Arabidopsis thaliana: one gene and its partners. The protein of the gene in region 1 interacts with the protein of each later gene in a pairwise test. Each region holds a gene or a part of one and is shown on either strand. Other genes may lie near its edges. The genes, in order: TINY2, TLP2 and AT3G24860.

Region 1 (3,757 bases):
TCTTCATTAATGGTCAGTGTCTGAAATGAGTAAAAAGAAGCTTGAACAATCTTGTAAAATGGAATAACGGATACGAAGGCAAATAGCATAATTAAAATCCTTTAAAGATCCTTACCCAAAAAAAAATTAAATCCTTTATAGCTGATAAAATCTAAGATGTTTTAGACATTTTATTTGGTTTCATATTACAAGATGTTTTCCAAGTTTATAGATAATTTAAATATATTTGTTATTTGTGACCATTTATATTATGCAGTATTTTATATTATTAGTTGAATTTTATTAAATCAAATATAAAATAAAGGTTTTAAAAATAAAAAAAAGTTCTTTTTTAATTAAAACATCTTATATTTTGAAATATAGTGAATAATTTTTCTTTTTTTCTATTTTTTCATTCATTACTAGTTAGTTTTGACTTTTAAATAGAGGTTTCAAAATTATTTAATGGTTTTGTAATCCGATTGATTTCATAAACTGTTCTCGTGTTCTAACAATATTTTCAAAACAATTAAACTATTTTCGTTCTCGTCTTAAATAGACTTGTAAGAATCTCACATAAAATCTGTTTAACTAGGATAAATATAAAGCAAGAGTCAATATATTCATGTCAATAATTTTTGAATTAGAAACTTGTAAACTCTAAAACCTTTGTTGACCAGTTTTTTTTTTTTTTTAGTAAACTTAAGATGATCAATATTATTGTTAATTAGTATTACGTATATGATCAATATAAAATGCATATACGTATTGCTGAAACGAGAGGCGAAAATACAAACAATTCTCTTCATTGCAAGTACTTAGACATTGCTATTACTTGTGAAAAATCCAAAATGATTATTAAGAGACATTATTTTTTCGTCATTAAGAGACATTTTTTTGGCATGATTATTAAAAGACTTTAGTGTATGTGTATATTTGACAGACACTCGTCCTTCCTTATAGGTACGCAAATACGACCCCATGATTGAACAAGTTATTGTCCCTTAAAATTTCTTGAAGTTTCCTCTACAAACTTCTTTTCTTTATTTGCAATATTGTACCTCTAATTTTGGGGGCTTTTTTTTTTAGTTTGGAAGCAACTTTAACCTAATTAATATCAATTGGCTGGTAGATTTCTTTCTTTTATGGGTCTTACGCCCATATATTTTCTAAGACCAGGACAGAGGTATTAATTATCAATTTACTTACGGTTAAACCCCCTTTAGTACACCTTTTCAAGTCTAAGTATAAAATATCCTCTCAAATGAAATCAGTACAAATTGTGCAATTAATCACACACCATTTGGTGTCTCGAAAAAAAACACTCAGTTACAAATTTCTCCAAAATTTAAAATTTAGCCTCGAAGCATATGGTTTATTGGTTAAGACAAGTTCCTTTAATTAGCCCTCGATATATATAACTAAAGTAAACATATGATACTTACTAAAAAAATTTCCTGAATAAATCTTCAAAAACTGTTGACATTCATATAATATGTTTATAGAAAATCAAAATTTGAAAGACAATAACTCTATATCCGTGTAAATAATATGTATATTAATTCTGATCAAAACTAAATTGCAATTATGGCATATCATATATGTGGATACATATTGCCTTCACATGATGAGCATATATATATACCAATATGTAAATAGGAATGTATGATCCAATGAGTCGAAGATCAAGGTAAAGGATAATTAAACAGTAAAACTGAGGTGAAAATTATCTTACCACACAAAACAAAAAAGGCTTGTCTCATCATGTTCATCTCGGAGACAACTTTCATATAATTTACGTACCCGGCCGAGACAAAATCTCTTTTCAACACTGCCCTTCTAAATATGGTCGTCTCATAATCTTTTAATATACTGAAAAGTATTTTGTTTTCCTAATTTAGTTGCATAATGAGATTTTAAGAACCGGGAAAAATATTAAAGCAAACAGTGACCCCAAGTGTGTCGTTTTATACTAATAACAATATATTCACAATATAGAAATAGAGTGGGTCTGTGAGAAAAACAAAAATAAATGGAGCCACTGGGTCCATTTCCTTTATTCAATTAGACTTATTGCATTGTTTTTGGTCCCATTCCCTCTCTTCTAACCCGTACCCAAATATATTAATGCATATATAAATATTTTGAGTGACTGAGAAATGATAGCCAAAATTTTACCAACATTTTTCTCTTCTCATATCAAAGTTTCTCTCTCATTTCTTCATCACACTTCACTGCCCTGTTTTTTTTCCTCATTTTGAATAGTTCTCAAACTTATATATTTTTCCCCCTGAAGCCTAGCTATTTCTTTTTATTTGCATTAATCTCGGGATCCGAATCGAAAAAAGCAATCAGAATAATAGACTTGTACGATACTTGTGCCTAAGCTAACACAATGGCAGAGGAATACTACAGCCTCCGCTCGGAGAGAGTAACTCAGCTTCTTGTCCCTAACTCGGAGTCTGACTCAGTGAGTGACAAAAGCAAAGCTGAGCAAAGCGAGAAGAAGACTAAACGTGGGAGAGACTCCGGTAAACACCCTGTTTATCGCGGAGTAAGGATGAGGAACTGGGGAAAATGGGTGTCGGAGATTCGTGAGCCGAGGAAGAAATCACGTATTTGGCTGGGAACTTTCCCGACGCCGGAGATGGCGGCGCGTGCACACGACGTGGCGGCTCTGAGCATTAAAGGAACGGCCGCTATACTAAACTTCCCTGAACTCGCTGACTCATTCCCTCGACCCGTTTCATTAAGCCCTCGAGACATTCAGACAGCAGCTCTTAAAGCAGCTCACATGGAACCGACGACGTCGTTTTCATCTTCCACGTCTTCGTCGTCGTCTTTGTCTTCTACGTCTTCGCTCGAGTCTCTTGTGTTGGTGATGGACCTCTCGAGGACTGAGTCGGAGGAGCTCGGTGAGATTGTGGAGCTTCCAAGTCTCGGGGCGAGTTACGACGTCGACTCGGCTAACCTTGGGAACGAGTTTGTCTTCTATGACTCAGTTGACTACTGTTTATATCCGCCGCCGTGGGGACAGTCGTCCGAAGATAACTATGGTCACGGAATTAGCCCTAATTTTGGCCATGGCTTGTCATGGGATCTCTAACAGTTTATTTTGTATCATTACCATAATGTTTTGTTTAAAACAGTTTATTTTGTATCATTGCCATAATGTTTTGTTTAATCACGTTTTTAAAACCCTTTGCTGTTTTTGTTTTTTTTTTGAGTTTTTTGGTGTTAGCTAAGAAAGGTTTTTTTTTTTTTTTTTTTTGGAGCGGGTGTGAGCTCCATAATGATACGTGTACAAAACTCTATTTGTGTTTTTTTTTTGTAATATATAAATATCGGGTTTTTTTGTCGGAAAAGAAGGGAAAATAAAGTGATTTTTTTGTAAGTATCATCAAATGAATAAGCGATAAATAAAAGTCCACTAACTTTATGATATTGTAATAATGCAAATCATCAAAATTTAAAAAACTGTTCAATGTTTTTGTTTTTGTTTTCTTTGACAAAAAAAGTTTTTTTTTTAAAATTATAGGAAATATCTTTAACCATTAATTGTAAATTAGAGTCTCACTATCCCATTCATTTTTGTTTTGTCGACATAAATGGAACGGAGAATGTGAGTTAGGGTAAAAAATGAGGGAAAACACAAAGCAAGAGCAACTTGTCCAAGCTGACGCAAACAATACACAGCCACATATGTACATCCATGCAATACTTTATTATCATCTATTAGTATGTTAATGACCATAATTTCCCACTTTAAAAAATTTGT
Region 2 (3,757 bases), on another chromosome or scaffold:
CTAGGTCCCCTTGTGCGAAGAACATTGAGCTCGTAGGTTATGTTTCCTACGGTAGAGCTATTCGTAGGTAGTTTAGGAGCCGCTTGTTTCGGGTGGAGTCTTCGGTTAGGTTGGGCTTGTGCTGTGGATGATGCTGTTTGGTTGTCATATATTGTGAACTTGGTTCCCAGAAAACCAGACCTATCCCACAAGATAAGTAGAGACTGCTTAGACAAAAGAGCTTTTGATGGTTAAGACTTTAACTCGGGACAATTGCTTACCTTAATTTGCCAACATAAGTACTGCTGCTCCGTGAGAAGTTCTTTGCAGATAGGGAGATTATAAAGTCTGTGCATGTCGCTCTTCTAATCCTTCTTGCTGCTAACAACAGTTTGTCGTTCTCAGTCTCCGCTGAAATTCGAAACAAGGATCATCCTTAGAACAACAGTTTCTACATTGTTGAAAACTTTAGTCAGGGAATAAGGGTCACTCACAAGGCATCAAACCATAATAGAGAATGTATGTAGCTGTTGCTCTGTTCCTCTTAATAAAACATTGAATTGGAGAGTCTCGAGGCCCCGGCTGCTCACAATCAAACAAGAATATTAGATTTCCAACATGATGATGTGAACAAAAGAAACAGTAAACTTTCTTTACCTGTTTCAATGAGATTGGAAAAGTGAGCTTCCCACACTGCTCAGGGATCCTCACAATCTCCATAGTGATTCCTCTCCATGATTTACATACTGAAGCACAAGAGACAACGGCAGCTCGAGCGGGCCAAGCTGTCTCACTCTCTTCAACCCTCCAGATAATGTCATGAAGCAACTCAGGCGGCAAAGAAGCCCATGGGCTCTGTGGTATGTTATCCAGTGGTGGAGTTGTTTGATCAGGAGCAATGTGAGACGACTTTGACCAGCTTCTCTTGGAGATGCCTCCAAGTCCATCCCTCACTTCCTTCAGATCACGAAGGATGCTTTTCAAAGACATCTCTTTTCAGCATACCACAAAACTCCCCGATAGCTGCAATCACTCAAAGTTCATCTTCTTATAATCTCCTTAAAGGAAACAAAACAAAGCTCAACACTTTCACAAGCAAAAACAGACCCCAAAGATAAAAACTTGGGATCTACGCATCTATACCAAATGGGTAAGGAGAAAATATGAACTACTAATAGAAAGAGCTCGAAATCTTCAAAAATCACAGATTCACATTGAAACGCATCAAAATCCAATCTTTAAATCCGACAAGAAAACTCAACAGATCCAAAAACAGAGGGAGAAGAAAGAAGAATCTTTCTTCTGGAAATGTGAAAGAAAATTGAAAACCAACCTCAATGAATTCGATGAAGGATCAAAAGACAAAAGCTTTAGAATCTCTGGAAACTGGAAGATGTGATCGGCGGCAGCTTCTTCACCGGATCCGAGAGACAAGATCGGAAAGAGAAAACGCAGAAACAGAGACAAGCATAGCTGTCTCTAAACAGATTCTTCGATGCTTGTCGTCTCCGGGGAAGAAGAACGAATTCGCCAGTGACTATCTTAACATGATTCCGTCGGTCACCGGCGTTATCGCCGTCGTCTAGACTCCGCCGCCGATCTCACCGTAGGTGAATAAAGGAGTGGTCACCACCAAAACGAACCTGAACCTCTCTCTCTTGTTACAAATTGAGAAAGAAAGGATCCGAAGTCTTCGCTTTTTCTTATAGTTTTCAATGAAACGTTTAAAGGCAGAGAGAAACTCTACAAATTAAAAACTTTAACACTAAGAAAACAATTTTGGTCGGAAAATATTTTTAACTTCTAAATTTTTTAGTTAGTTAAATAATTAAGAGCTTCTAATGATACTACTTGGCTTTAATTTGATCATGACTTACTGCATGGCTTTAATTTGATCATGACTTACTGCATGTGGCAATGACATATTTGGTCGGTAAATTGATAGTACTATTTATATATATATATATAGAAGATTAAACGAAAACTTTAGAATTATCCGACAAAATAAATCTTGAAGAAACCTATAAACCTTTTTATTTCAATGAAACTATTAATTGAGAAGAAATATATTTTACGTCCAACAAAGATTATTGTCGATGTTTATAGTGAACAGGAAAATAACATGTCTAATTTTTTATATAAGTAATACGTAATCTTATTATGTTGTAAAGTTGTTTATTCTAGTTTGTATGTGAATTTCTAATTTATTGCATGTGTGTAATATTTTTACATTGGAAGTAAATGATACTTGAAAAGAAAATTATATTCATTACCGAATTTTTAAAATTTAATATGATTGATCCAACTTGAACCAACATATCAATCCAACCTGAAATTAGTCCACCCTCCATACTAAAATTGATCTTATAAACACACTACTTTTAAGTTGGGGGTTTGAAAGCATATAAAAGTTTAATCTCAACATTTTAAGTATTTTTTTTTCTAATTAATTTTTTTGCATTTATTGTCTTTCAAAATTTTCATTATTCTTCGATTGTGAATGATTTTTTTTTTCTTTCTTTTCGATGTAGATTATAAAACTTGCATCTAGCGTCTTTTTACCAGATGTTTTAGAGATTTTGTTTTTCTTACTTTCTTTAATGAATTTGTTTCCATTTATTTTCATAACTATAAGAATATTTTTATATGAAAAATTCGCAATCACAAGGTTAAGTCAAAAATCAATCTAACTTTCTTCTTCAGGCTGAGTTTAGGATAATTCATATCTATAACATATAATTCGTTAATATATACACTTGTTCTCGTGCTAAGTATAAACACAACGGATCTTGTCTTCAACATATACGTATTTACTTCTTCTTTTTTTGTTTGACCTTATCCAACAATGTGAAATATTTTTAAAATGATATATACGCATCACACATGTATCATGTATGATGTATCAATTTACATAATTAAAAATTCAAAATCTCTGTCAAGCCACCCATTTTGACACCATGCATTAATACATATAAGAAAGTCTGGCTTAAGATCAAACTCCAGGAGGTGGTATTATAATTTTATGGATTTGGCAAACAATATATGCCACGTACCTAATTCAACTTTATTTTTTCATACATTTGTTTTGACGTCCTATTAAAGTTTTAATGACTTTTGATATGTGGTACCAACAAAACCTAATGAATCGTATACGGTACCACCCAAAAAAATGTCCTTCTTCTCCACCCATTTGATTGATTTTCTTGGCAAATTATGATAGTTATCTTAAAGTAATATTTATCATTTTATTTTGTGTCATTCATCTTATCGAATTTATATTTATGTGAGGTTACACAATGCATGATATCACTAACACACATTACTAGGTTACATATGATAAAAACAAAATTATAAGGATACGACTTTACTAAATGCACAAAATCTTCTTCAGGTAACAACGAATATATATAGAGTTTTACATTATGACTTTAATGGTTACGGTTGCCACATGAATAGCATTTGTAGCATTCATCGGGAAAAAATGTTATTATTCGTGCATAAACTTGTTAATGGATGTGATTTTTTTTTTAAGTGAAAAAACTTGTTAATGGGTGTAAAAACAACAACAATTGGTAACTCTAAATACAACTATTACCTTAAAAATAATTTACCAGGATCTATATTTTAATACTCCTGATTGTAAATTTCAATGATTCAAGTTATTAGCTTTTAAAATGTAATGATTCTCATCTTAGAAGTTGCTCATGTTTGGTATGTGGACCACAATACAACTATATTGTATATATCCTACATAAATATTTGTGTACACAAAGTGAGA
Region 3 (3,717 bases), on another chromosome or scaffold:
CCTAGTTCTGAACTTTGTTCATCACTCGTACTCTCTGATTACAAGATGGCTGAGTCGGAAAAGATGGAGACGAAAGACCCACCAAACCCTCTGTCTTTGTGCCTAACGGGGAACACAAGCCGCAAGAGACGTGCTGTGGAAGAGAGGAAACGTACCGGTGGATTCAAGAAGGCAAAGGTTGCTCCTTTTCCAGGGACAGCGAGAGATACGCCTAAGTGGCTTGTCAAGGTGATGAGAGACATGAAAGAAGCCAAAGATGCTAAACTGATCTTTGAGAAGACTCTGTTTGTGACTGATATAAACCCAACACAGAACCGTCTCTCAATGCCGTTCAACAACTTACTCCAAAACGATTTCTTGACGTCTGTGGAGTCCAGAATCATAAAGGAAGACATCAACAACAATAAGAAGATTGGAGTGGGAGCGATTCTCGTGGATCAACGGTCTGTAAAGTGGGGTGTGATGTTGAAAAGATGGGAGCTGAAGAAGGAATCAGGAAAAGGAAGCTGGAACTACAATCTGATTTGTGGGTGGAACGATGTCGTTGAGGCTAACGGATTGAAAGAAGGCGACAACATTAGTGTTTGGTCGTTCAGGTGTCGTGGAGTCCTTTGCTTTGCCATGGAACAGAGTAGCTCTTCTCTTGCTCTCTGTCTCTGCTAAGTATCTTATGTCTGTTGTGAGTCTTGTGACTATAACTTGGTTGATTAACACGCACAGTGATTTTCAGGAGATTCTGAAGATTCTTTTGTCTAGTAATTTCTTGAAAGAGTTAAACTAAAGAAACTTGGGTTCCTCTTTCTTCTTAGTAACTTGTTCCTTCTATTGTTTCAGATCATTATAATCGTATGTACTTAGCACTTTTGACATGAATCTGGTTTGTTGTTTGGTCTACTTTAGTTACCTTTCGATTTCTTGTAATATATCTCAAAGTCTAATTTTGTGTGATGACATTGATCCAATTGTGAAAAGGTTACATGTTATGGTACATTCATGAGAAATGCTCAATACAATCAAAACCAGGGTTGTTTTCTACTAAGTGACAGGTTTCTACTAAATGATCAAATCAGGAACAAAATTTGTTGCCAATGACAGGTTTTGCTACAATTGCTTCCTTCTGCCACTTGAATAAGTACGACGTCCTTTAACACAGGGAATGCATTCGTGCTGGCCAAGACACTGCAGAAACTTCCAAGCTGAAACCTGATTATATTTGAATCTCATATCCGAAGTCTGCATTGCTACTATTACTTCACCCTCAAACCATATATATTACATGTGAGAGACATCACGCTCATCTCTTGTCATATTCCAACTAAATTTTTTGTTCGTTTTGCTCACTTAGCAGCCGTTGATGGAAGAAGGAGGAAATTGCAGTGAAGAGGATGAGAAACGATTAGAGAGAAAATGAGAGGAGGATCTCATCAACGCAGGTTTGCCTAGGCACAACTTGGAAGGCTGGTTGAAAAACAGAGATAACTGCAGTAGTGGCTGACCACATAAGCTGTTTTGCTGTTTGCAGCAAAAGCAAGACCATCTTTATCGAAGCCTCCAGGGAATTTTTCGTCGCGGGAAGAACACAATCCTTTCTAGATGATCTGATACAGAATAACAAAAAAACATATGGTGAAGTGATTAGATCGACTTTAGCTAAGACTATCTGAATATAAACCCAGTAAACATATTTGGGCTTTCTCTCGGGTATAAACTTGCTCACCAAATATGCTGAAGTGATTGATTGTTTCGAAGAATGCTAAGGCATCACCTCAAACTCTTGGTTTGTTTCATGGAGAAAAGTTGCTTCTCCTTGTTCTACTTGTCAGTTGTTAGGAAGAATTAGTCAATTTCTCTTCAATGAATCCCTACAAGTTAGACTATTGTGTTGAATAAGTAAAGGAGTTCTGCATGAGTTTATCTCTTTTGTTCCTCCGATACTTTTTACTTCCTCTGAGTAAAAAAAGAGAAGTAAATTTTTACTTCCTCTAAGTGGGTTGGTCTAGTAAATTTTTGTTGGGCCCAAAATTTAAAAAATCAACAAGAAGACAAAAAAAGCCCAAAGATCCGAGTTGGAGTTAAACTGACAAAATCCGAAGCACCAATTAACATTGTTACACTAAACCATGGCGACGCCTTCGCCGACCTCCTCTCCTCCCTCTGATTCAAACCCTAATTCTGCCGCTACTCCGCCGCATCAGAAACAACCACCCTCTCCTCCTCAACCCACGAATCCATCCTCTCCACCACCGCACACCACCGTCGTAGCTTTAGCCGCATCAACCTCCGCCGTCGCCAGAAAAACCCAACCTGTTCTCTGGACTCAAGACGAGACCCTCCTCTTAATCGAATCATACAAAGAGAAATGGTTCGCAATTGGTCGTGGTCCTCTAAAATCAACTCACTGGGAAGAGATCGCCGTTGCTGCCTCATCTCGTTCCGGCGTTGAACGGACATCTACACAGTGTAGGCATAAGATCGAGAAGATGCGTAAAAGATTCCGATCTGAGAGACAGAGTATGGGACCTATCTCAATTTGGCCTTTCTATAATCAAATGGAGGAATTGGATTCTTCAAATCCTGCTCCGATCTCAGCTCGTCCTCTCACTCGTCTTCCTCCTAATTCGAATAATCGCTACGTAGACGACGAAGAAGAAGATGAAGAAGAGGATAACAATAACTACGAAGAAGAGGAAGAAGAAGATGAGAGACAGAGCAAATCGAGGAGTATTAATTACATATTGAGAAGACCTGGAACTGTTAACAGATTTGCTGGAGTTGGTGGAGGATTGTTGTCATGGGGACAAAAAGAGAGATCATCGAAGAGGAAGAGGAACGATGGAGACGGTGGTGAGAGGCGGAGGAAAGGAATGCGAGCCGTTGCAGCGGAGATTAGGGCGTTTGCTGAGAGAGTAATGGTAATGGAGAAGAAGAAGATTGAGTTTGCTAAAGAGACTGTGAGACTTCGTAAGGAAATGGAGATTCGTAGAATCAATTTGATTCAGAGTTCTCAAACTCAGCTTCTTCAATTTATCAACAATGCTTTTGATTCTTTCTAACGTAGAGATTTAGTCATTGTTGCTTTTAGATTTGTAACATAGGTAACGGATTTGAAGAAATGCACTATGTAAGCTAATGTTTATGGGAGTGAAGTGAACTTTTTTTTTAACCATAAAAGAACAATGATACATTCATCAAATTAACCTAAACCTACAAGAGAATAAGTTAGAGGAAAAGGTTAAAAAAGGGCCCTAAGTATATGCCACAAGGATGGAGGAGTAGAGACTTCTATACAAAACATTATAAACTGTTTCTACTCTCTCCCAAACCAAAAGATGGGAAGAAGAAGAGACTACTTCTCTATGATGCAAGTGGGTAATTTACATTATGATATACCTTCTTCTCTTTGTGTTCATCAAAAGAGGCAAAAAGACCTGCATGAATTTTATCCTATCCACCAACTTCTTCCCTATTGATCTCCCTCTGGCCTTACCAAATCTGCAAACTCCACAATCTGTAGAGTTTGTTATGTTATACTCTCAGCCAAATCCAAAGACCACCAGCAGCTTCAAGATGTTAATGCCAAAAAGAGACCCGACTCTGAAGGTGGAGGACACAAACCAGTTTGGGTTCCTGTACAGGGTTGTTGTCGGTAAGGGCCAGCGTTAAGCTTTGCAGGATCTACAGCTACTCAAGGTTCTAGGTTCATCTGTCATGCCTCTC

The links.
Region 2: the proteins of TINY2 (region 1) and TLP2 interact in a two-hybrid assay, tested with the Arabidopsis thaliana proteins (one large-scale study listed by BioGRID).
Region 3: the proteins of TINY2 (region 1) and AT3G24860 interact in a two-hybrid assay, tested with the Arabidopsis thaliana proteins (one large-scale study listed by BioGRID).

What each region holds. Positions count from the first base shown.
Region 1 is NC_003076.8:3,727,117-3,730,873, reverse strand, and holds TINY2 (Integrase-type DNA-binding superfamily protein), read left to right. Parts: upstream 1-2,147; 5' UTR 2,148-2,374; coding exon 2,375-3,085; 3' UTR 3,086-3,421; downstream 3,422-3,757.
Region 2 is NC_003071.7:7,943,966-7,947,722, reverse strand, and holds the start of TLP2 (tubby like protein 2), read right to left. Parts: upstream 1,726-3,757; 5' UTR 1,566-1,725; coding exon of another isoform or gene 1,317-1,565; 5' UTR 1,313-1,316; intron 1,035-1,312; 5' UTR 970-1,034; coding exon 637-969; intron 562-636; coding exon 474-561; intron 391-473; coding exon 261-390; intron 181-260; coding exon 1-180. Other genes in the region: AT2G18270 (uncharacterized protein), read left to right, coding at 1,317-1,565.
Region 3 is NC_003074.8:9,071,522-9,075,238, forward strand, and holds AT3G24860 (Homeodomain-like superfamily protein), read left to right. Parts: upstream 1-2,101; 5' UTR 2,102-2,120; coding exon 2,121-3,053; 3' UTR 3,054-3,161; downstream 3,162-3,717. Other genes in the region: AT3G24850 (B3 domain protein (DUF313)), read left to right, coding at 1-663; AT3G24870 (Helicase/SANT-associated, DNA binding protein), read right to left, coding at 3,716-3,717.